Alligator mississippiensis: one gene and its partners. The protein of the gene in region 1 purifies or fractionates together with the protein of each later gene. This does not show direct contact. Links are inferred from orthologs where the notes say so. Each region holds a gene or a part of one and is shown in the gene's direction. Other genes may lie near its edges.

Region 1 (8,307 bases):
GCAAAATATGTTTCTCTGTGGCTGTGAAGAGTAAAAAGTGATAGGGGACTGTCTAGGGCCACAGGCCTTCGTTTGCTGTAGCGCTAGGAAAACAGGTAACCTGGTCAGTCCTGCTGCAGAGCCCTGAAAGTCGGTGCCCTTTAGTTTTGAATAGGGCAAAGGAAGAGTAATTTCCATGGGGTGGAAGATGATAATTATTTTATTGTGTTGAAATGCACAAGAGGACACATTTGTTGCCACACTCTTATATTTAAAAGACGACAATGGGGGAAGCAGTGGGGATTAAGGATCACAATGCATTTCCAAATTAGCTATGGTGACGCTGGGAGCAAGTTTTGCTAGGTTTTTTGTTTTTGTTGGTTCCCTCCCCCCCAATTAGAGGCTAAAGATGGAGCGAGGGAGGATGAAGAGGAGGATAAATTTAATGGAAAAACCTGGGTATGAAGGGGGAAGAGGGCATTGAGGAGAAAGAAAGAGAGGGCAAATGACAAGAGCAGAAAGAGTGAGAATAGCAACAGAGCAACTGATGGAACAGGCAAGGAAGAAAGTTCAGTGCAGAATGTAGTATCGCTCGTATCTGGGGTTCTAAAATGCCTCCTAGTAAGCAGTATCTGCACCTCTGGGGACAGAATCTGTGCATGTTTTCCCATGCATGTGGCTGTGGCTGTAAGCTGCTGAACCAGCCTACTGACTTTGAGGAAACGAGGCCCAACCACAAGTTCTCCTAGGACAAATTGCCCATCCTGTAATAGCTAGGAAGTAGAGAGGAATGCCTGCCTCGCTTTCTTGTGACCTCCTTAGAGAAGAGTGTAGCAGAAGCATCCAGGAAACAGATTTGGTTAGGTCTTGAAGTTCTTAGGAAAAAGAGTCCCTGTTCCCAGGGTATACTTCTATTGTGGTCTGGATGTCAGTCAGACTCTTTCTTCTGACACTAGTGCCTCCCTCAATGGTGTTGCTATTTGTGTTCCTCATTCAGATGCGCCAGGGACGAGGTAGGCTGGGCGAGGAAGACTCTGACGTAGATATTGAAGGGTTTGATGAGGATGATGATGGGAAACCTAAGACTCCAGCCCCAGTGAGTATATTTACAGAAATCCCATCTGTAGTCCACTTTGTTGATCTGCATCCTCATAGTAGAAGACTCCATAGTGCAGGGCAAGTCTGCTGGGTCTGGCACCTGAGTGACAACAGAATTCACAGCAGTGATTAATGAGATTTATCTGTGGTCATGAAACAGTCAGCATAAAAACAAATGACTGAATGTATTGTTCATTAATTGTGTCAATTAGTAAGCATGTACCGGCTCTGGCAGTAGCTTATGTGATTTTTTTTGACCTGTGCCATTCCTGTTGTGTGTGACACAGGAAGTTGAAGATGCAGATGGTGACCTTGCTGATGAAGAAGAAGGCTCAGCCCAGCAGCCTCAGGCCAGTGTTCTGTATGAAGATCTGCTCATGTCAGATGGAGAAGATGATGATGATGATGGGAGTGACGAAGAAGGCGATAATCCTTTCTCATGTATGTTAGGGTCTTGACGTCAAAGGTCTGAGCAGGAAATGGCTGTTCCCATCCCAGCCAACCTCCCATGTCCTTTGATCACTGTAGCATATATTCTGGCCTGGGATAGTAGATATTCAGGGTACTGAGGTGACAGAGACCAGATGTTTACAGCCCAGTTACCTACTAGATAACGACAGCAAGCAGCAAGTTGCATGAATTTTGGGTGTAAGCCAAGATGAAGTGGAGTAGAAGTGAAATGTGTGGACTCAGGAAACAGAAGCTTAGGCAGGATCTGACGTTTCTGATTGATAGGGGAGCTCTGAAGGATGGAAGGGAAAAGACTGAGGCTCAGGTCGGTTACTGGGGTCACGTGGAGCTGGACTGGGCCAATGGTGTAATGAAAACACAAGTGATTTAGATGGGAAACAGGACTTTTTCTTGCTGTTGAAGCTTTTGGCTGTTAAAACGGGACTGAGAATTAGGTCATTAAAAAGAGGTCAAAAGTAATCGGCAAGTCTCTTTGTTGCACAGCTATCCAGCTAAGTGAGAGTGGCAGCGATTCGGACGTGGAGTCCAATGCAGTGAGGCCCAAGCAGCCTCACGTCCTTCAAGAGAACACACGTATGGGCATGGACAATGAAGAAAGTATGATGTCCTATGAGGGAGATACTGGGGAGACATCTCATGTGATGGAGGACAGTAATATCAGGTAATCAAAGCTGAGCTGTAAAAAAAAACCCAAACAAACCACTATCTGCTGGAGAACTAATTTATTCCAATCATAAAATCATAGAACTAAATTGTTCCTCTGTTACTTTTTTTTAAGGTAGTGGTTCTCAACTTTTTTTGGACTAGGGCCCATTTGTAAACATCAATGGCCAGTCTGGACCCAGTGCCCCTCACTCCCAACCCTGCCCCCCCAGTGTGTGGGGTGCATGGAGGGCCCCAAGCAGTCCCTTGCAGGCTGGAACTCTGCCAGCCTGCAAAGGAAAAGCCATGGTTTCCCATGTTTTTTCTCCTTTAAAGGAGAATCCATTTTTCAAGTTGGTTCATTCATTTTTAAAGTTTGTTCATGACCCTTTCATATGTTCTTGCGACCCACAGGTTGAGAAACACCGTTCTAAGGCACTTACCTTATGCCCCTACTAGGAGAGCACTGTAGAGAAGACCAGATCATGGTGGGGTTTAACTCTTTAATAAAAGAATAACCACTTTGTTACTCTTTTATTAAATTAAAATTATTCTTAAAATTTTATTAATGTTCTCGTTGCTGTGAACTTGGTTCTGCTGTAGGTACCTCACCAAATTTAAAAAAACCCAAACCCCACTAATTACATAGAAAAGAAAAAACGTGGTAACGCAAGGTCAAATGATTCGTAGCTTTAACATTCTACTTTTGTGTACCGCCTGGCCTCTGCCAGACGCGCAGGTAAAGGTGCAGTAGGATCCAGTGCACAATCCACACAATTGCACTTCCTGCTATGCCACACATGCCATCACACCTTATTGCTGGTGCAGAGGGAGCCCAGGATCATGATCCCAGGCTTTCCCTGCCCCAGCAAGTAGCAAGTGTAACGTGTGGCGAGGGCCTCTGTTAAAGAGCAAAAAACTCACTCATGTGGACAGTCTTCGACAATATTAAATGCTATTATTGTGGAAAGAGTTGATTTTTAGGAGATGAATTTTAGGTCCTCAGATTCTGTTTAACTTAATGCTTTTTCCCTTTAAAGGACAAACAGGTAAAGGCAATACGAATGTCAAAAGAGAGGAAGTGTACACAGTGCATCTTTTGATAGCAGTTCATTTGCCTGAAAATCGGATGCATGGTGTATAGAAGATTGCCCCTTGTAGACCCCATGTTCTTTGTCTTGGCTTGGCTTTCTTCTAGCCCAGCAGTCAGCAAACTTTTTAGGCTTCAGGCTGCAATGACCCAGCTTGGGTCGGAGGTGGGTGGGTGCTAGAAGCAGTAGCAGCGGTTGGATCTGCTACCAAATACCACCAAAGCCCCACATCCATGGGCCAGATCAAGTGGTTTCACGGGCTGGGCCCAGCCCATGGGCCATAGGTTGCTGCTTCTTCCTCTAGCTGTTCTGTGGAGTTGTGAGGCTGGGTGCTGTTCTTCTCATCATGCTGTTCAGGGAGCAGGAAGGGAGGGATTCCTAGAGAGCAAAAGTTCTTACACTGGGAATTTTTTTACTAGTAGAGAAAATGAGACCTGTTCTTGTATGGGCCTTTTTGCCTTTGCCATTGGGGTCCAGGGAAGAGTGTCAGTGTAAATGAACAGTCAGAAACATTAATGTAGTAAGATTTCATTTTTTCTTTCAGTTATGGCAGCTATGAGGAACCAGATCCCAAGTCCAACACACGAGATACCAGTTTTAGCAGCATTGGAGGGTATGAAGTCTCGGAGGAAGAGGAGGAGGAGGAAGAGGAGGAGGAAGAACAGCGTTGTGGGCCCAGTGTGCTAAGCCAGGTTCATCTGTCTGAGGATGAGGAGGACAGTGAGGAATTTCATTCCATTGCAGGAGACAGTGACCTGGACTCGGATGAATAAGCTTCCCAGACATCCTCTGTTGCTACGGCATGTGTGCACTCGTGGTTCACAGGGGTCCTGTGTGCCCTTTCAGACTCACGGACAATGCAGTCTGGGATGCGCGTTTGAAGCACCTGTTTTTTCTTGGATAGAACTTCTATTTTAATGAGAAGTCTGTTAACTACGTGAAATAATGTACAATAGTAATCTAAACTGTGAATGCCAAGCTTTGGGAAAAGTCCCCTCCTGACATCGCTGAACAGCTGTGCTGGTCATCAGTTACAGGAGTCAGCTCGAGAATCCCATGTTCTGGCTTGTGCCTCCTCGTTCTTTCCAGAGACAAAACATCCTTACAGATATTAGTGAGTGAGCTGGAAATTTAGTTTTTGGTGCGGTTTGTTTAATCGGCCTTTACACACTGTCAAAAAATAAATGTCTGAAAGTATCCTGTAAAAGAAATGTGAGTAAACTTTTGTTAAAAAAGATACATGCATGGCCCGTGTATCTTTGCAGAACTGTGGGCAGACTCCGGGAGCTGTGCTTTTCTCCAGTGTTGTATGTCAGATCAGGTCTCTTCTGAACTTCCTTGCTCGAGGGGTTGCTGTGCCTGGAGTTGCTTAACTGCCAACCTCCCTCTTCCTCCGTGGAGCGGAGAAACCCCCCGCAGGGGGCACCACGTGACGGGACAAGGAGTAATGTGGCAGAAGGGAAAAACGTTCTTGCCCGGCGGGGGGCGAAGCAGTGGGCCAGGTCAGACGGGGGCCGGGTCTCCATCCCTGAGGCGTTTGGGACCCGACCCAGAGGACGCGGCTGGGGCTGGTTCTGCTCTGTCCAGGTGCGGGCCCAGCGGCGCTGGGGGCCCGAGCAGAGCCGCCCGGCCCAGGAGCTCGTGCCGCCCCACTCGTGAGCGGGGCCGAGAGAAGGGTAAGGGGTGCTCCCAGCAGGCCCCGCGCGGCAGTGACGCACCCGGATGTGGCCGCGGGCGCCATGTGCGGAAGGGCGGCGCATGCGCGCTGGGGCCGGGATGTCGCAATGGGCAGGCGGAAGGACACCATAACAAAGTGCTGCCGCCCCTGAGGCCTCGCGCTGCCCGCTCGGCCCTGCCCGTGGGATACCGGCGTGGCAAAGGCGTCCAGGCTTGTCCGGCGGGAATTGGGCCGCTGCTGCGCGGGACGCTGCGTGCAGCCGGTGCTGTGTCCTGCTGGACTACTTTGTGTGCCGAGCTAGATCCGGCCGAGCTGCGCGGACTCGTCCCTCCGCGGCCGCCATTTCGCACCGCGCGGAGCGCTGCAGCCGGAGCCGCCGGACCCCCTCGCCATGGCGACCTCCGTGGGCAGCGTGGCCGACAGCACAGGTACGGCCGAGCGCCGCGCCTTGCCGGGCCGGGCCGGGCCGGGCCGAGCCGAGCGTCCGCCCCGCCCCGCCCCGCGCTTCCCGGGGCCCGGCCGGAGCTCGCGGAACTTTCCAGAAGGCGCCGAGGGGTCGCGGCCTGGCCCCGCGCCGCCGCCTCGGGCCCGGGGCCCGCGCCCTCCGCCTCCCCCGCGGTCCCCGTGTACTCGGCCCGGCGGCGGGGTCGTGCTGGCCCCGGGACCGCCCCAGGCCGCGGCGCTTGCTTTGGCCGGCGAGGGCGGGCCGGGGCCGGGGCCGGGCGAGCCTTGCCGCCTCGTGTGCCACGGCTCGGGGCAGCGCCGCGCGCTTGGCTCCCCTCCCCACCTCACGAGCGCTGTTCCAGCAGCGGCGCTGCCCCGGGCGAGGCGGCCGCCCGCAGAGGATCGGCGCGCAGGGGCGGGCCGGGCGCTGGCCGGGCGTGGAGGTCTTCGTTCTCTGGATCTGGCCTCATTGTGCCTTCTTATTTTTGCAAGGGACTCAACAAAGTCAGTCCTGAGGGAACGTTTCATCTGTTCTTTACTAAAAAAACCCCCTTTCCTTCACAGATAAAAATAGAGCATCTTTACTTTCTTTCCATATATCTGTTACTGTCTTCCTATTCCATTTTTCATCTTAACATTGCACTTGACTTTTCAGGTTAAGTATTATAAGGCGATGCTTATTTCTTACCCGAATAGCGTGTATGGCCAGTCATCTGGCAGGTTGATACGCTGTTAGCTTATATCGAGAGAGATACTGAACGAGGAAGATGGCTTATTTTGCATCGGCTTCATTTTCTTTGTGGTTTTGCATCTTCAGCAGTGGGGGACTGCTTAATAAGAGAACTTTAAATAACATACTGGATACCAGCCGTCTAAAGGATGACATCTGGGCCAGCGGTAGCCAGGAGAGAGAAGACTGAGGAACGTTATTATGACAGTGATTTAGCGAGCCGTCATTCCCCTCTCAGCTTGAGGTCCTAAGAATGGTGATCCTTCTCGGGAAATCTGGCCTTCATCAGGGCCTGCAGCGAGTAGATCTGATAGGAAATGGTGTTACACTTGCCCTTAGTTTTTGGTTTTTTCTGGTATAGTTTCAGGCCCATCCTCTTCTCAATGTTTTCCCAAGCTGTGCAGACTTCACCGTACCTGTAGTTTGGCAAAGCATGAACAGTAGGAGATGTGCTGGAGTTGTCCTCAATTTAGTCTCGGAAAAATAAAGAGTTCAGTTTATCTCCATGTATGAACTAGAAAGCTCATTTTAATACAGGTAAACAAAGACCATCAGTTTGAAATAGTTGATTATAAATGAATAAATGGCTTCAGATACTACTATGCCTGATGCCCTTTGCAATGCCCGGCCTCCACACACTGTCCACTTCAAAGTGTGTCCTATTTGTATGTGAAGAGCTGCACACATGCAGGGGAAATGAACTTTCTGGAATTTCTGTAGTACATAAATGCTTTGCTGGAATACCCCGTGTTGAGGTCTCTTATATTGTAGAGGATTTTCCAGCGTTATATTCATGCCTTGAAACAACAGCCAAGTTAGGATAGGAATGTTTATTGGGGTAACTGAAACAGAAATGCCAAAAGTAAACAGCAGAAATAAAAATGTTGTCTAAACTTTTGTTTCCTATAATCTTAAAGCAAAAGTCCAGAGGTAAGGGAAGAGGCTGGGGACCTGGATGAAAACGTAGTAAGGGGAAGCAATTACAGAAGCTGTAGCAATGTTGGGGGGGGTGGAGATAGGATAGACGGGTACCAGAAATATTCATATGCCAATGTGAGAAGTATGGGAGCAAACAGGAAGTGTTTGAGGTCCTAGTACAAACACAGAATTAAGATGTAATTGGGATTATGGAGATGTGGTGGGATAGTTCACAAGACTGGAATACTGTCATGGTTGAGTATCAGTTGTTCAGGAAGGACCGGTGAGGGAAGAAAGGAGGTGTTGCTGTATACGTAGAGAAGACGTGCATGTCTCTGGAAATGCGGCCCAAACTGGAAGGGAGGTTGCCAGTCTTTGGATGAAGGTCACAATACAGCTGCAGGGTGAGATGTCATGGTGGGTGTTGGTTACAGGCCTCCAAAACCAGGAGGTTCCAAATTGCAGGACTTGTTTCTCATGGGCACTCTAAATTGTTGGTATCTCTGCTGGGAGGGAAGCACAGCAGTGCATTAGCAGTCCATCAAATTGCTGCAGTTTTGGGGATAACTTTTTGATACAGGTAGTAAAGGGGCCAGCTAGGGGAAGCTGTTCTTGACTTGCTGCTCACAAACAGAGGAATTGGTTGAGAATGTGAAGGTGGAAGGTAACTTTGGTGACAGCATCCATGAAATGATGGATTTAAAGGATCCTAAGTGGAGGAAGGAAGGAGAGCAGCAGAACAAGGACACTGGAGTTTAACAGGAACTGGTGAACAGGATCCCCTGGGAAGCAAGTCTAAGGAGAAAAGAAGTCGAGAGCTGGCTGTACTTCAAGGAGGCCCTTAAGGGCCTGAGAGCAAGCGATCCCAATGCGATGGAAGAATGGGATGTGAAACAGGAAACCAGCCTGACTAGACTACACTCTCTTCTCTGAGTTTAACTCGAAAAGGAATCCTGTAAGAAGTGCAAACTTGGTTGTAGTACTAGGAAAGCGTATAACAGTACTACTTATACCAACTGCATCCCAAATTGTGCCTCGCAGGCTTGCGGGGAGAAAATTAGGAAGGCTGAGGCACAATTTGGGATGCAAGCTGGCAAGGGATATAAAAGGCAGTAAAAAGTGTGTCCAAAGTAAGAGGAAGACTGGAGAAATCATAGGTCCCTTACAGAAAGCAGAAGGCAGTCTAGCTGTGGAGGATGTAGAGAAGGCTGAAGTATTTAATGCCTTTTTTACTTCAGTCTTTACAGATAGGGGCA
Region 2 (7,649 bases), on another chromosome or scaffold:
CATCTGGGGAAAAAGCCTTAAAATGCTAACCTGTAACTGTGGGGTTAGATGGGACTGCATGGAAACAAGCCCAGTGCTTGTGTTCTGGAGGCTACTTCAAATTGACTATGTACTTCCCACCTGGAAAGCAAGAAATTGGACCTAATGATATTATCCATGTCTCTCCATTTACTTGCATCCTTCAGAAACCTGAGATCTGTAAGGCGAGTCATTAGTCTTTTATTAATTCAAACAGCTGGGACCTTGAAGGGACTTGAGTAATGTAATCCATTTCAAAGTGCTGGAAGAACGCAGTGCGGTATGAAAAATTTTAGCCTTTTTGTGAATTTGGTCCAGCAAAAGGAAATGTCTAACTTTTTTTTACTAAGCCTCCCTGCGCATTAGTGGCACTGGGTATTAAAAGAGGCACATGGGGTCAAATAGAGCCAAAAGAAATAACATCCCTGAAAAAATCTATTAAAATCCTTGTTAAACACCACATGTAGTGAGTAGATTTGCTAAAATTCCTTGTTGATTTTTCCACCCCCCAAAAAAAACAAAGCTGTTTTGCTTACATGAAAAGCATTACAATGAGCATAAAATATTTTGTGTGTGTGTGACTCTAGTGCTTGTGAAACGTGGTGATTCAAGTCTAGGTCTTGGATAATCCAATGCTGGAAAAACTTGCAGAGTCTCATATTCATGAGAGGTGTTGGACTGATTATCTGCAGAGAAAAAGAACTTTGCCCACAGAACAGGTAAAGAACGAATATAATATGTGCTATCCCAGTGTCCCCACGATCTATTTAGCAAAGTACAGAGAGGAACCATCTATCAGACACCCCTCAGAGATGAGCTTGTTCCTTCTCCATTACTGTTGTCCCCAGCCTCTGCCTGACTTCCCAACAGCCAAATGCCTTTCCAGAGCCTGCTGTAATGCTCCCCTGCCAGGAGAGACAGGGAGGTGTTGAGCCTAACTCCCTGTTTCAGGGCTCCAGAATTATAGGAACACCAAAAATATGGGGCTATTTTGGTGGGGGAAAAAATGGACTTGCATGATCACATTACCATTTCTTCCTTTCAGTGCACCTGCTGCCCAGAGCTGAAAGTGCCGTTCATAGGAGTAAGCAGAGTGAAAGGTCCACGCCTGTTGTTGGTAACTGTGCTATAACAGTAGGTAAAAGTCAAAGCCTCATTGCTCTAGACTCTGTACAAATGCAAGGGTCTGGAGAACAAAAGCAGGTGGGGACTTCCTTCATGTCAGCTGCTCTGTTGGATTTGGATGCATTTTGGATCCATTGGATTTGCAACCATTTGGATGCAGCTCTTGCCCTTCAGTAAGCAAAAGCTAAATTGTGGTCGCTCGGCCCCATTTCATTGAGGTAAGCTGTCCCAACCATGCTATTAGTCCAAGAAAACGCATCACCCCAAAAATCTGCCTCTTACTCCAGTTTAGCTTTTGCTCACTGGGGAGTGAGAGCAGGGACTCGAACAGATATTGCAGAGCAGCTGATGTGCAGTAAGTACCAGCCCCCTTTTTAACTTGCTCTGAGTTGTTACTTAGGTTGTGTCCATTTGAGTACGCACCATTGCCAAGAGTCTGTATTTTAGAAGATGAATGCTCTAGACAGAGACAAGACAAGGCAAGGAGCTGATAAACTGTCACAGCCCATCAGGGTACGTGTCTACTGCCTCCAGTGATTCCATACCTGTTGCCAAGAAGCAAGCCTTGCCTACTTATTCCAACTGCTCAAGAGTCACTTGCCAGAACACTTTGTATAGTTGCTTTTTGGCATGTGCTCAGGACCTCAGGCTGTGGCATGCTCCTGAGAGTACCTGGCTCTCTTATGACAGTATGGGATTAGGAGTGAGCGGACAAGTCTTGCTTCTCTGTCAGTGAAGGCTAGATCGAGGTACCCTTGGTTGCCTAATAATCAGCGAACTCCTTTTGTAGGCATCAGGTTGGTTGCAAACATAACTGGCTTGAATATAAATAAAGCATCTGCTAAATTCAGTGGGTGTGACAAATGAACAGCAATACATTGAAGGGGCACTAGTAGGTGAATAATGTAATTGAAATGCAATTACTAGAAGGGCATAAGGTTTTCGGTATGGCATGAATTGTTTTGTAGTAGTCTTCTATGGGATGCCCATCTTTAATTTCTTGCTATGCAAGCTACCTATCCATAAAATGCTGAATTGGTATAGTTCATGCTTCATTCCAGGGTTTATATTGTAGCTAAATTTGGTTTAATAAAGCTTTTTAGTGTTTTTTTTTTTTTCTTCTCCCAAATAAGACTTGGTTTACTAAAGCTGTTTCTAGCTATACTCAGAATTTAAATGCTGCTCTCTGCTTCTAATGTCTTGTATTTTTGTACAGGGATCTTCAAGACCTTAAAAATCATTCATGAATTAAACCTAACAACACCCTGGAGACAGGTAAGTATTACCATGTTGTTTTCCAGGTGGAGAAACAGGATGATTTACCATAGTTAACATCATGCAAGGAAGTTATTGGTCGACAGGAAAAGTTGGAGCTCCTGCTTTTCTAACATTCAGTCCTGGGTTTTTACCACCACAGCAAGTTCCTTTTGAGCATTGCTTAAAGTGGGCATTTTTACAATGTCAGTGCAGAGCATGCGTTTCATATTCCTAAAGAGTTCTGATCTGTTTTCAGCCCTTAAAATCTGTTAAGTTCTGCATGTGCATGGAACCCACTGAAATCACTGGGGTGCTCTGCGTCGGCCCACTCCCATGAAGTAGCTTGCAAAAATAAGACCTTGCTGGATTTATCGGACGTTGTGTATTGACGTGTGGCCGGGACTTGCATTGCCTGATGGCTATTCATACTCTGGTGGCTTCTGACTGGCTGCAAAACATCAGTGGTTGGAATTGCTAATACCGCCAACATTGCCCCTAAGAATAAAGAACGCTGGCAATCGGAACCAACTCCCCGCTAGAAAAGCCTCGTCTGTTAATGGCAGAGTTCATTTATTTATTATTCGAGCTGTATTTTTAGGTTATTTTTAACTGTGCATTTGGGTGATAAGTTAGCCCTGGGTCCAATTAGCCTTGAACTGGGATGCCTCTGCAAAGAAGAACTAGTGCTGGACCCAGGGAGAGCTGCAGCGGGGATTGCTCCATCCTTGGAAGTGCAGGGGCAGGTACATCAGGCTGGAAACCAGGTAACAAGAAAAGAAACAAGGTTGTTAGTTGTAGCCGTGTTGGTCTAAGGACATAAGTAGACCAGGGTCTTTGGGTTAATGTGAGATCTTTTATTAGACCAACTAAATAGCTGGTAAAATTGTTCTTTGCAAGCTTTCAGGCTCAAACACCCTTCTTCGGGCAAATAAATGAAAAGAAATAAGGGATGGATTTGGTAGCTGTGTTGGTCTGAGACTAAAAGAAATGCAAAACTCTAAAAATCTTGGTTTAGAGATGATACCTTTTTATGAGACCAACTGAGCAACTGCAAAAATAAATAAATAAATAAATAAGTAAAATTCCAAGTAAATAAAGTATATAAATAACTTATTTATATGTATTCAAGTTAACGTGAATTTAAATATTTAAATTCATATTAAATATAATTATATATAATTCTCTATAACCATAAATAAATTATATGAATTATTTACATTTAAGTTAATATGAATTTAAATACAATGATCTATAAATATAAATAAATTATATAAATATAAATAAATTACCTATATAAGTTGCATTTAAATTAAATAGATTTAAATATATAAATTCAATTTAAATTGTATATAACCAGCTGAGAAACTGCAAAAAAATATATTAAATATCAAATTTTATATGAATTATATTATATTTAATTTATATTATATAAACTAATATATATTAATTGTGTGGGGGGTTGGTTTTTTGGGTGTTTTTTTTTTTGCAGTTTCTCAGTTGGTCTAACAAAAGGTATCATCTCTGAACCAAGAGTTGCGTTTCTGAAAAGAAATAAAAGCATCAAGTCAAGAGCCACCCATCACGCCATGCGGCTGGCTGCCAGCTGCTGCTTCCCTGCCCTGCTACCGTAATGCCTTACCGTAATCGAAGTGTAGAAGCGCCCTAGAAGGAGCTGGCGGGAAGCGAAGATTGCGGCCTGCTCCCGCCTCCTCCTTGGAGCTGCCCAATGGGGGAGCGCGCTCTCGCGCCCCCTGGCGGCCGGCCCCGCACTCCCGCGCCCAGCGCTGCGGCGGGTGGCAGGAGGCAGCCTGCAGCCCCGCTCCCGCGAGTCCTCCACGAGCAGCGTGCCACGGAGAGAGCGGCGCGGCGGGCGGTGGACGCTCTAGCCCGCCGCGGCCGCCATGTCAGTCTCGCTGGTAGCGGCCCCCGCCCTGCGCTGAGGAGGAAATGGCGGCTGGGCTCGGCTGAGACCTGCGGCGGCGGCTGGATTCGCCCCCGTCCCCCCCACGCCCTCCGCACGGGTGAGTGCGGGAGGCAGCGGGGGAGGGAGGAGGGGGAGAGCCGCGGGGGGGGGCGCTCGGAGGCGACGCGGGCGAGGCGGCGACTGCGGCCTAGGCCTGGAGGATCGGCGAGAAAATGGAGGCGGGCGGGCGAGTCGGGGTAGGCCGCGCGGCCTGGGGACGGGGACGGGCCCCTCCAGGACGGAGTCACAATCCCGCTGACGTCATGGCGCTCCGTGACGTCACGCCCCGTCTCCCCCTCTTTTTGTCCCGCGCAACGGCCGCCAACGGGCTGGGTACGGGGGGGGGGGGCTCAGCGGCATGCGGCCTCGGGCACGGCTGGGTGGTGTTTACAGTGGGGGACGGGGAGGGGGGAGATGTAGGCTTCCCCCTCCCCAGGGGCCGCTCATTTTTGGGGTCTCCTAGGCAGACCAGGGTCTCTGGGTAAATGCAATTTTTTTTTGTTATTTATCAATTCAGTGGTGGGGGTGGGGGGGATTAATCCCCGGGAAGTGTTTGGGCACTATGCCCTTCTTCAGTTGCAGGGAGAGCCCGCGAGTCCTCCTGGGGGGGGGGTTGTAACCGCATCGGGCTAAGGACATAGGTAAGGACAGGGTCCTTTGGAGTAAATCCGATATCTTTGTATAGACCAGCTCCAATCGCTGGACAAAATAAAAAAAAAAAAATCTTTGCGAGCTTTCGGGTGTAAAGACACCTCGGTGGTCTGAATGTAAACGAGCAATTCGGAGCGCTTCGGATCAGCGGAGCGACGCTGAGAGCTGTAACTATTAACGCTTTCTCGGACAAGCCCGAAACAGCCAAATCCATCAGGATCCGGGGACTCGCAAAGGAGAGACGGAGTTTGCAACGAAAAGGTGCAAACACGTCCCTGAGGTATTTTATTACCTGAAAGCTTGCTGAGAATTTTTCCGACTCAAATAGTTGGGGAAATTCTTCTTTGCGAGCTTCCGGGTATAAATAAATCCCTGGGGTATTTATACCTGGAAGCTCGCAAAGAAGAATTTTCCCAACTGTTTGAGTAACTCCTCCTATGCCTCCCGTCAGATTGAACTGGCATCGCTTGAAGATGAAAAGCGTCCTGTAGCATTCAAAGGACGTTTTATTTACTTATTTTTTTGCAAGCTGAGAGTCGTTTCTGTAACGCCGGGGATAGCGCGCTCTTTCCTTGGGGGTTCTGCCTGCGTTCTCTTGGCTTTGAAGTATTTCTTTGTGGGAGGTGGGAGGAGAGCTGCCCTCCTTTTGGCATCACCTTTTTCACTGCAAGATTTTTTGTCTCCATGATTCCCCAGATCCTGATGGATTTAGTTGTCTTTTGCTTTTCCAAGAAAACCTTAATAGTTATAGCTTTTACCGCTTAAATCAACAATGGTTCTGTTGATCTGAATTGCTTGTTTGCATTTGACCACCAAATTGTGTCATTTATTTATTTTTAAAAGGACGTTGTCCTTTATTGCCTGTTTTAGGAACAGGTCATGTAAGCAGTCACTTGAACTAGTTTGCGCTACGCAACATCTCCAATTATGTTTTTTAGTTTCTTGACTTCCTTGCAAATTAATTAGCTGTATAAACAGTTGAACTGTTGAGGAAAAATATAAAGCTGAAAAAATGCATGTAGTTATAAATGGAGGGTTGTATGCCAACTGTAGTAGCTGTTATAGGTCATGTTAAAAAATTTGATCATGTAAAAGAGTAGTAAGAGACTGACCATTGGATCTTCCTGTAAGATCTTGTTTAACAAATTTGCTGGTATGCTCAAAACACCTTTTTGGGCTTAGTCTTTTAGGTGGTTTTTGTTTTGTTTTTGTTTTTTGAGAGTTTAGAAATGCACTGCATTGAAAAGGGCTTTCCTTCATTTTTGCTCCAAACTGAAAGTTTTTGTTAACCTTCAAATAACCTAATTATTTGTCAAAAGCCATGTAATGGACTTGGAAGAGAGCAGGATTAGAGCTTTGAATCCTTTTTTCAGAAAAGTGTTTAAGGTTTTGAAGTATAGAGGGACACAGAAGAAGCAAAGTATTCTGCCTTGGCAAACAGATTTACTTTGGTTTGTCATGAAGTTTAAATTTCAGAATGTAGACCCTGATCTGCCAGTTTTTAAGATGTAGTTAATATGTAAATAATATGATGATTATTTCACACTTTTTAAATCTTCAAATAATACAGATGGGGGTGAGACAATGTCTTGTCTCGTGAGTTCCTTTTGCTTTAAACAAAAGTAATGCAAGTGAAGCAGTTTGAGTCCAAAGCGTTACATAAGGACTTAGAGCTTGCAGGTCTTAATTTTAATAAAAAGCTAAAGGAAGTTATGGGAGAACTTTCCAGAGGAATGACTGTTTACTCTTCCTATCGTACGCTCTTTATATTCTCCCTCTTTTTTTTTTTTTCAGTTAAGTATTACAAGCTTTCACCACAATTTCTGAAACTTTTTTTCTCTTTTTGGCTGGGGGCAGGGACAGGCAGAGGCTTTCTTTCTTTAATTCTAGCTAGGCTTGACTGACCTCCTTCCTCTTCTCCCCCAGTAAAATTTCCAACTAATACATGCAGTGGTGGCAAAGGTAGTGTTAGGTTACTGGTGGCTTTCTTCACTAACACTTCCACTGTTTTACCACTAGTAGAACAGTAAGGAGGAATTTAAAGGGAAGGGATCTAATGTAGGTGAGGCTTGTCTGACTTCCAGTATAACGCTATCTGGGTAGCTGTTTGTGTGTCTTTTGGAGTCCCTGACCTCAATTAGTAATGGTTGAAATCTAGTATCAGATACTATGTCAGGTTACATGTAATATCTGTTCAGCAGTAAATATAAACTCAGTGGGCACGTCTACACATTTATTAATGCACTTTTAATAATGCACATTAATTTAGTACATCATATTAATGTGCATTAAGCTGTGCTGATGATCAGTAGCACAAGCACATGCTTTTTTAGTGATGCTTAATGCACAGTAGCTTATTCACTGAATTTTCCTCATTTGCTATAGATTTAATTATGATTATTATTATTACTGTTATTAATGCCATTTATCAGTAGTAATATTATTATTATTATTATTGGAGTCTAGCAGTATCTAGCAGTTGGATTCCTGGGTTCATAAATTTAAATAGAGAATTCCTGCTGTATTAAGGTTACTGAATGACATTCAGGTGCAGATTAGGTAATTTGCTGATAGTAATACTTTATGAAGAAAACAGGATTTCCGTGTTGTTTATTTATCAGACTTTAACCACGCT
Region 3 (8,275 bases), on another chromosome or scaffold:
CGCTTGCCACAGTCGGCGCAGGCAAAGGGGCGCTCGCCAGTGTGCACGCGCCGATGGTTGGCCAGGTTGGAGCGGCGGTTGAAGGCCTTGCCGCAGTCTGCACACGGGTACGGGCGCTCGCCTGTGTGCGTGACCTGGTGCTGCAGGAGGGTGGAGCTGAGGCCAAAGCGGCGCCCGCAGTCGGCGCAGGCGTAGGGCCGCTCACCTGTGTGCACGCGCCGGTGCTGCGCCAGGTTGGAGGCACGGGAGAAGCGCTTGCCACAGTCGGCGCACGGGTATGGCCGCTCGCCCGTGTGCACACGCTGGTGCTGCAGGAAGGTGGAGCCCCGGGCGAAGCGGCGCCCGCAGGCCCCACACACGTAGGGCCTCTCGCCCGTGTGCGTGCGGGCATGCTGTGCCAGCGTGGAGGCCGCCGCAAAGGCTTTCCCGCACTCTCCACACTGGTGCGGGCGGGAGGGGGGCGGCGGTGGGAAGCGGGCTGGGCCCTCATGCAAGGCGGCGGCGGCGGGAAAATCCGGTGCTAGGCCCTCGTGCAAGGTGGGGAAATGCAGCTTGTCCTCGTGCGAGGCAGCAGGGAACTCCAATGCATCTCCCTTGTGCGAGGCAGGGTCGATATCCAGCTGGTTGTGGCCCTCCTGTGAAGCATTGTGAAAAGCCAGCTTGCTACTGCGGTCCTCCTGCAAGGTAGTGTAGTACTCCAGTGGCAGGTCCTCGTGCGAAGCATCGTAGAAATCCAGCTTAGTTCGGCCCTTGTGCAAGGCGCCGGGGAAAACCAGCTCGTCGCTGTCCTTGTGCGAGGTGTGGTGGGGAGGTAGGTCATCGTCCTCGGGCGAGGCACTGCCGGGACTTGGTTGGTTATTTTCCTTGTACGAGGCAGCATGGACAGCCAGCTGGGGGATGCCCTCGTGCGAGGGGGTGCGGAAAGCGAGCGGGCAGCACTCGCTGTGCAAGCCGGGGCACTGTCTGCCTTCGTGCGAGGAGGTGTGGAAAGCGAGCTGACTGTTGTGGCCCTCGTGTGAGGCAGCGTCACACCCCAGCTCTCCGTGACCCACGTGCAAGGCCGGGGGTGACGAAGGGTTGTCGTTGCTGTGGTGCAAGCCCCACCCACTGGCATCGTTGTGCGAGGGCCCTGTTTCTGCATCCTCGCCACTGCCTCTTGCACCCTGCTCGTGCGTTGCACGGGGCGGGCTCCAGTCCTCGTCCGACCAGCACTGGATGTCGCAGGAGATGTCGGGGGCGGGGCTGGGCGGGGCCCCGGGGGGGGAGGGGCTGAGCTGGCTCATGGCGCTGCCCTGTGGGGGGGGCGGGGGGAGGAAAAGGCAGGGGATTAGTGGGGGGTGGATGCCTGGGGCCCCGTAGGTGTGTGTACTCGCACACCTGTCCTGGACACCTGCGTGTGTGTGTGTGTTTGTACATGTGTCTGGGTGCCTGGGTTCCGTGTGTGTGTGTGTGTGTGTGTGTGTCCTGGACACCTGGGTGCGTGTGTGTGTTTGCACATGTGTTTGGGTGCCTGGGTTCCCTGTGTGTGTGTGTGTGTGTAAACCCCTGGCTTGTCCCGTTTGCCCCCAACCCCCTCCCCCCCACCGTGTGCCACCCCCCCCCCGGCGCTCACCGAGTGTGCAAGAGCCCGAGCAGGCAGGCGAGTGGCGGGGGGCTGCGCAGGCGCAGAGCAGGAGGGGGCGGGGTCAGGCGAGGCCCCGCCCCTACTTCCTCCGGCAGAGCGGCCCGGCGTGGAGGGGGCGGGGCACGCGCGCGCGCAGGGGTGTGTGTGTGTGTGTGGGGGGGGGGACACGTGCACGCAGCACCCACGTGTGCAGGACACGGCCACGCGCAAACCGCCGGGCTCGTCCGTGGTTTACTACAGAAACAGGGACGTGGTCTCCGCCATTGGCAGCGTTGGTGTTCACGTGAGCGTGCGCATCCTGGCCGTCATCACCCTTAGTGACGTCATCCGCGCTGCCCACGTTATTGCCTGCATCATCATCATCACTAACAGCAGCAGCAGCTTCGTCATCGATCCAAATAGCGTACAAGGCGGGGCGGGGCGGGGCGGGGCGGGGCGGGAGCGCAGCGCGCGTTACTGCTAGTACTGCTGCGGGCGGGGGCGGGGGCGGGGCCTTTGCTGGGGCGGGGTTACTCACATCACCGATAGCGTGACGCGTCTTGCCCTTGCTCTTGCTCTGTGGCTGCAAATGACAGCCCTAGTGCTAGCAGCGACCACGGAGCAAGGCAGCGAGGACAGCAACATGGGCCCTGGTTATTCTGCCGGCTGCTACAAGAGCCGTGGTTGTCGCAACGACAGCACGGTCGTTATTATCACGCGCAGATAATACGAGCGAGCGTGGCGCTGGTGGCGGCCGTCCCACGCGTCAAGTCATGTTACTTGACGACGCCGAGGCCGATAACATCACCGACGTGTCCTACCGTCACGGTAGCATTTTGTTGCTGCTACCACAAACCACATCCTCAGTAATACTGGCATTATTTGTATTACCTATATTTCAATGCAACTATAAGTCATTGCCCGGCACTTATTGTTATGCCATTCGGAAGTGTCAGACTGAAAAATCACTCTTCGCCCCGTACGGTGCAATGCTCTTCTAACGACGGGTTTTTCATCGCTCTTGCAGACTCGGGGCCTCTGATTATCCTTGACCAGATCCTGACAAACTTTTGAATTCTTATTGCTCCATAAAGTGGTTAGCAGGGATCCTTTCATCCCAGATGAAAAAAGGAAAATCCCCTATTTTCAGTTCAGAAAAAGCAGCCCCAAATCCACATTTTTCTATGAGTAAAATGAAACACCACTAATATTAATTAGTTGCTGAATTATTATTATTCTATTCTGCCCGCTACGAGCCGGCGGCAGGAAGATCACCAGAAAGTCAGGATCCTGAATGACATTAATATCTGAAAATTGCCAGCAGTGATGCCAATAAAGGCCGGGGGGATCATTGGGTTAAAATATGACCTCTGCTTTTATTCTCACTTGTTCTGTTTTCTTCCGATCGTTTTAAGTGCACCGGTCTCAATACCGACGCTCTGCGCGGCAGGGTTGGAAGGCGTTCGTTATCGAAGTTGGGGCTCAATTTTCAGTGCTCTCAGCGCGTCGCAAACGCTCCGGGCCTCCTCATCTCCCTGCCCGTGCTGTCAGCAATAACTTCCATACATTTGAATAACGAGTGGCCATTGACTACCACTTGGTGGCTTTCAAGGCCTAACGAAGTTCCATTGCTCATTATCACCTCGTCTGTGGTACAAGCAATCATCCATTGGAATAATGACAGGCCACTTCTAATGGCTTTGGGAGTCACAATATTCGCCTGCCGCGTCTCCCGCAGGCACTATGCAATCCCTCCCCACCCCCGCAGGAAAGCAGCTGCAGGCAATTTTGGTGCGCATTACAGAGGGGAAATATGGTAAGAGCTCTTTCTGCTCATTATAGGCTGTTAGGCAGACAGACTCAGGATTCACATTCTTTCAAGGCGTGTCCTGCATTCCAGGGGTGTGTTGTATCCTAGAAAATACGGTAGTATTAACCCCGAAAAGCCTCGTTTGCTTGCTATTAGCATGTATTTGAATACATTTGCATACATCTTGACCGTCTCGCGGTCACAAGTTCGCTCTGGTTCTGGTCTTTTGAATAGCTCTTGCTCATTAAGAGACCGTCCTTTCTTATTAGGATTTATGTGACTCCCCCTGAATAATTCAGGGTCATCGAGGGGGTCAGAGACTGCAGTTTTGGCATCAGCACATTCGACACACTGTCCCCACATAATCAAATATGCAAATAGAGGCCTAATTGAGGTCTGGAGACATTTCTCGTTCTTCCAACCGTAAAGGGACAATTGTATTTCACTCTGTGAGGGAAGTGTGGCTTTATCCCCCTTCCGGCAGCTTTGAATTAGCAGTAGCAGATTCAAGGGCCAAGAGTTAACTCTTCCGAAAGCAATCCCCTTCCTCTTTGGCCTCAAAATTGACTTGTTTCTGGAGGGGTTCATTAATGACCTAGTCATTGGTTAACTATTTAATTCTCTGCTGGCGAAAGTGCAGCGAGTGAATAGAAAGAGTACCTTTTTGGGGCCTAGCTGAGATTCCCCGGGCAGCTGATTCGCTCTTAATTATTTTCCTCCTTATAAAAATGGGGCGCGGGGGGGGGGGGAGGGACACTCAAATGGGTGGGGGTTCATTCGTCATTTCCTTTCCTCAGGGTCATGGCGAAAGTGCGAGGTGCGAATAATTAACCTGTTCCTTTGTCCCAGCCTGAGGTTTCGCTCGTCGCTGATTCGTCCCACGAGCTGACCCCGCCTTTGTTCCCACCCAATCCATTTCCTGAGTCATTAAAGGGTTGATTTGCATCGCTCCGCGTCGTATTCAGATTTATGCAAATGAGCGTTCATTTAGATACACGTGTGGCGAAAGTACCGAAGCCGGACAACGTAATGGCTTCCCCAAGCTGCGGTTTCACCCTCCGCCGATTCGTCCCTCCCCGTTTCCAACGCTTTAAAAACCCGGCTTGGGCCTGGCTGGGCCTATCTCGACTTCATTTTGGTTGGACGTCATAGCTTATTTGCATATATGTAAATAGAGAGCGAGGCGAGGACGTGGCGAAAGTGCGACCGACCAACAGTGCCCTCAGTTCCACCCCCGTTTCACTCCCTCCCTCCAAGCACCCCCGCCCATCTGGAGTCGGGCGCTAGCTCCGGGTTAGCCGCTGCAGATTCGCTCTCCCTCGTGGCGGGGGCCGAAATCGGTGGGAAATAGGGTTACTTAATTAGAATAAATAATTAACGATTTATTAGGGGCGGAGCAGGGTGCAGAATAAGCGGGAGGGCGGGTAACGAAAGTGCGGAGACGAATACCCAACCCTCGCCATCCTTGTCACTCACCATCCCGCTTCGGGGCCGGGCGCTAGCTGCGGGTTGGCCGCTGCAGATTCGTCCCTGCTCAATAAGAAGCGGGGCGAAATAGGGTCTAAATTAGCATCGGGTAATTAAAATGAATAATTAGCTATTAACTGGAGAGTCGAAGCGTGACGAAATAGCCGGAAGGGGCGGACGACGAAAGCGTGGAGGCGGACCCCCTCCTTCCCCTGCTGATTCGCTGGCACCGATTCGCCTCGCCCTGAGGCCACCCGGGGAGAGGCGGGGGTTAAATAAATACATAAATAAATAAACAAGGAAAAAAAGCTTGTTGTTCGAGCTCGAATGCGGATTTATTTCTATTTTATTTCTTTTATTATACTTTTTAACGCCGTGTCGAAAGTGCCGCACATCGGGAAGGACCGTGTGTACTTGTAAGTGTGGGGGGGAGATGTCGCGAGAGCTCGCCGGGCGCGCGCGAGACGTCCGGCGCGGGGCCCCGCCCACCCGCTCCTCTCCTCCCCCCTCCCCCCGTCTCCGGCGGCCGCGGCGGACAGCGGGGCTGGCAGCGCCCCCCTCCCGCCCCGCCCCCCTCCCCCCTCCTGCCCCCCTCGTGCGCCTGCGCGGAAGGGAGGGGGGCAGCCGCGCGCGGGGAGTGAGGTGAGTGGGGGGCGGGGAGCCGGCGTTCGAACGGCCGTTGGCGGGAGGGGGCGGGGCCAGGGTGGCCGTTAACGGCCGCGCGGGGGGGGCGGGGCTGAGCGGGGGAAGGGGCGGGGCCGCGGCAGAGGGGGGGTCCTGGGGGGAGGGGCCAGGGGGATGAGGGGTGTTGGGGCGGGGGTGGGGAGGGGGTTTCTGAGGGAAGAAGGGGGGTAGGGGGCCGTAGTAGGGGTCGGGGGGGGGGTTGGGGGAGACATGGAGGGGATCTGGGGTTGTCTGGAGTTGCTGAGGGGGTAGTGGGGGGATCTGAGGTGGAAAGCAGGGTGATGAGGGGGAAAGGGGGGCCCAGGGGTGAGCGAGATGATGAGGGAAGGGGGGTGCTAAGGGGGAGAGGGGGCTGGTAGGAGGTGGGGGGGGCTTCAGAGGAGAAATTTGGGGGGCAGGGGGCTGCTGGGGGAAAAGGGGGGGCTTTGGGGTCTGAGGGGGTTGCTGAGGGGAGTCCCAGGGGTAGGTAGGATGAGGAGGTGGTTTCTGAAAAGAAAAGGGGTGTCCTGGGGGCTGGGGGGTTCCTGAGCAGAAACGGGGGCTGTGTGGGGCAGGGCAGGTGCCAGGGGGGCCGTGAAAGGGGCTGTACGGACAAGGGGTCCTGGCATGGGCGGGGCGGGGAGGGGCTTCCGAGACGGAAAGGGGTCTGGTGGGCGCGGGAGGGGGGTCTGGGGAGACAAGGGGGTCCCTGGGGGCAAGGATCCCTGGGTGCACCCCCCCCTCTCCCCCAGGTCTCCAGGTTCCCCCCTATTGCTGCCCAGGCCCTCACCCTCCTCTCCCGCACAGGCCCCGGGGCACCGGGCACGGCATGGATTGAGCGAGCGCCCGCCGCCTCCCCACGCCCCACAGCACTCCAGCAGGTGCGTGCGCGGGCGCCCGCCGGGCACCTGGGTTCTGCATGCCGGGCAGGGTCCTGCCCCAGGGGGTTAGGGCTGCGTGTGTCCCGGACGCCTGGGTCCTGCACGCGCATGTGCACTGGGGGGGAGGGGGGGGAGAGCAGGGACGCCTGGGTTCTCCGTGCATGCAAGTGTCTCGGACGCCTGGGTCCTGCACATACGTGTGTGCAAGTGGGCTGCACACCTGGGCTCTGTACATGTGCGTGCAAGCGCCCTGCATGCCTGGGTTCTGCATATGTATGTGTGCATACACTTGCAAGTTGCCTGCACGCCTGGGTTTTGTGCACGCATATGTGTGTGCATGCATTTGCAAGTGCCCTGGACACCTGAGTTCTGTGGGTGCATGCGTGCGATCCTCGCCCAGCCCCTCCAGCAGGGGGCATTTACCCCCTTGCCCATGGGGCATTTATCCCCTACCCCTGCATGGCATTTATCCCAACATGGGCATAATCTCCCTCCTCTGCCCCCTGCAGGGTAAATGAGTCAGAATGGACCAGGAGGGCGGGGGTGACTTCCCGAGAGCCCCCAATGTCCCATGGCGCAGCTACAAGCTGCTGGTGGACCCCGCGCTGCGCCGTGCCCCCCAGAAGATCTACCGTTATGATGGCGTCCACTTCAGCGCCCCCGTGAGTCTGCCTTGCTGGGGGGGCAATTAATGCTCCCGTTCAAGGAGGGGTCTCTGGGGTTGTACCCCCCCCCAATTTTATCAGATCTGGGGGAGTGGGGAGTTCTGGGAGGGGGGTGAGAGCAGGGGGAGCTGGGAGCCTGGACGCCTGGGTTCTCTGGGCTGGTGGGGGGTGGGAGCCAGAACCCAGGCATCTGAGCTCCGGATCCTTCCTCTCCTCCCCACTTGAGGCCAAGGGAGTCCCGAACCCCATCGCTAACTGTTGTCTCCCTCAGGATGCGCGGTATGCCCCCGTGGATGAGGTGCGGGACCCCCGGCACCGCCGCATCTGGGCTAAGCACCGTGACCTCTCACTGCCCGTGCCCAAGTTCAAGGTGAGTCGTTGTCCACCCCATCCCCCCTGCCAATCAGTGCCTACCTCCCAGCCCTCCTCAATGCAGGGTAGAGCAAGGGAGTGTAACCTCTGCTGTCGGCATCCCTGGGTGGGCTCTCCGGGGTGCAGCCGGCTCTGGGGAGGCAAAGTCGGCCGAGCGTAACGCCGCTCCATGCCTGCAGCTGGACGAGTTCTACGTGGGGCAGATCCCACTGAAAGAGGTGACCTTCGCCCGCCTCAACGACAACATCAAGGAGCCCTTCCTGGCTGAGATGTGCCGCAAGTACGGTGAGGTGGAGGAGATCGAGATCCTCTACCACCCCAAGACCCGCAAACACCTGGGCCTGGCCAAGGTGCTCTTTGCTAGCACGCGCGGTGCCAAGGACACCGTCAAGAACCTGCACAACACCTCTGTCATGGGCAACCTCATCCATGCCCAGCTCGACATCAAAGGTACCTGCCCGCCTGGTACCACGGCCCCCCTGCCCCAGCTAAAACGTGTGGGGACCCCGGTATCCTACCTCTGTCCTGCTCCAGGACCGCTGTGCCCAGTCTTGGGAGCATGGAGACTCGAGTGCCCTACCAATACCCAGTCTCAGGGTGTGGGGACCCTGGTGCCCTATCCATGCCATGTCTCAGGGGTGCAGGGACTTCGGTGTCCTACCCCTGCCTTCCTCCAGGACCCCTGTGCCCAGTCTCAGGGGCATGGGGACCTTGGTGTCCTATCCATGCTATGCTCTAGGACCCTTGTGCCTGGTCTCGGGGGGCATGGGGACCTTGGTGTCCTCCCCATGCCCAGTTGGGAGTGCAGGGCCCT

The links. The genes of interacting proteins can lie anywhere in the genome.
Region 2: the proteins of OGT (region 1) and DIDO1 purify together in Homo sapiens (affinity purification with mass spectrometry; 3 studies listed by BioGRID and IntAct, with this or other methods). This does not show direct contact. The link is inferred for Alligator mississippiensis from reciprocal best matches to the Homo sapiens genes OGT and DIDO1.
Region 3: the proteins of OGT (region 1) and SETD1A purify together in Homo sapiens (affinity purification with mass spectrometry; 4 studies listed by BioGRID and IntAct, with this or other methods). This does not show direct contact. The link is inferred for Alligator mississippiensis from reciprocal best matches to the Homo sapiens genes OGT and SETD1A.

The regions. Positions count from the first base shown.
Region 1 is NC_081831.1:83,415,654-83,423,960, forward strand, and holds the start of OGT (UDP-N-acetylglucosamine--peptide N-acetylglucosaminyltransferase 110 kDa subunit), read left to right. Parts: upstream 1-5,278; 5' UTR 5,279-5,350; coding exon 5,351-5,387; intron 5,388-8,307. Other genes in the region: TAF1 (transcription initiation factor TFIID subunit 1), read left to right, coding at 977-1,075, 1,365-1,518, 2,032-2,209, 3,826-4,054. UniProt on the Homo sapiens protein: Catalyzes the transfer of a single N-acetylglucosamine from UDP-GlcNAc to a serine or threonine residue in cytoplasmic and nuclear proteins resulting in their modification with a beta-linked N-acetylglucosamine (O-GlcNAc).
Region 2 is NC_081832.1:4,709,477-4,717,125, forward strand, and holds the start of DIDO1 (death-inducer obliterator 1), read left to right. Parts: upstream 1-4,338; 5' UTR 4,339-4,421; intron 4,422-7,649. UniProt on the Homo sapiens protein: Putative transcription factor, weakly pro-apoptotic when overexpressed. Tumor suppressor. Required for early embryonic stem cell development.
Region 3 is NC_081830.1:483,012-491,286, reverse strand, and holds the start of SETD1A (histone-lysine N-methyltransferase SETD1A), read left to right. Parts: upstream 1-4,964; 5' UTR 4,965-5,296; intron 5,297-5,391; exon of another isoform or gene 5,392-5,522; intron 5,523-6,350; 5' UTR 6,351-6,424; intron 6,425-6,933; 5' UTR 6,934-6,948; coding exon 6,949-7,086; intron 7,087-7,360; coding exon 7,361-7,459; intron 7,460-7,640; coding exon 7,641-7,911; intron 7,912-8,275. Other genes in the region: zinc finger protein 850, read right to left, coding at 1-1,283. UniProt on the Homo sapiens protein: Histone methyltransferase that catalyzes methyl group transfer from S-adenosyl-L-methionine to the epsilon-amino group of 'Lys-4' of histone H3 (H3K4) via a non-processive mechanism.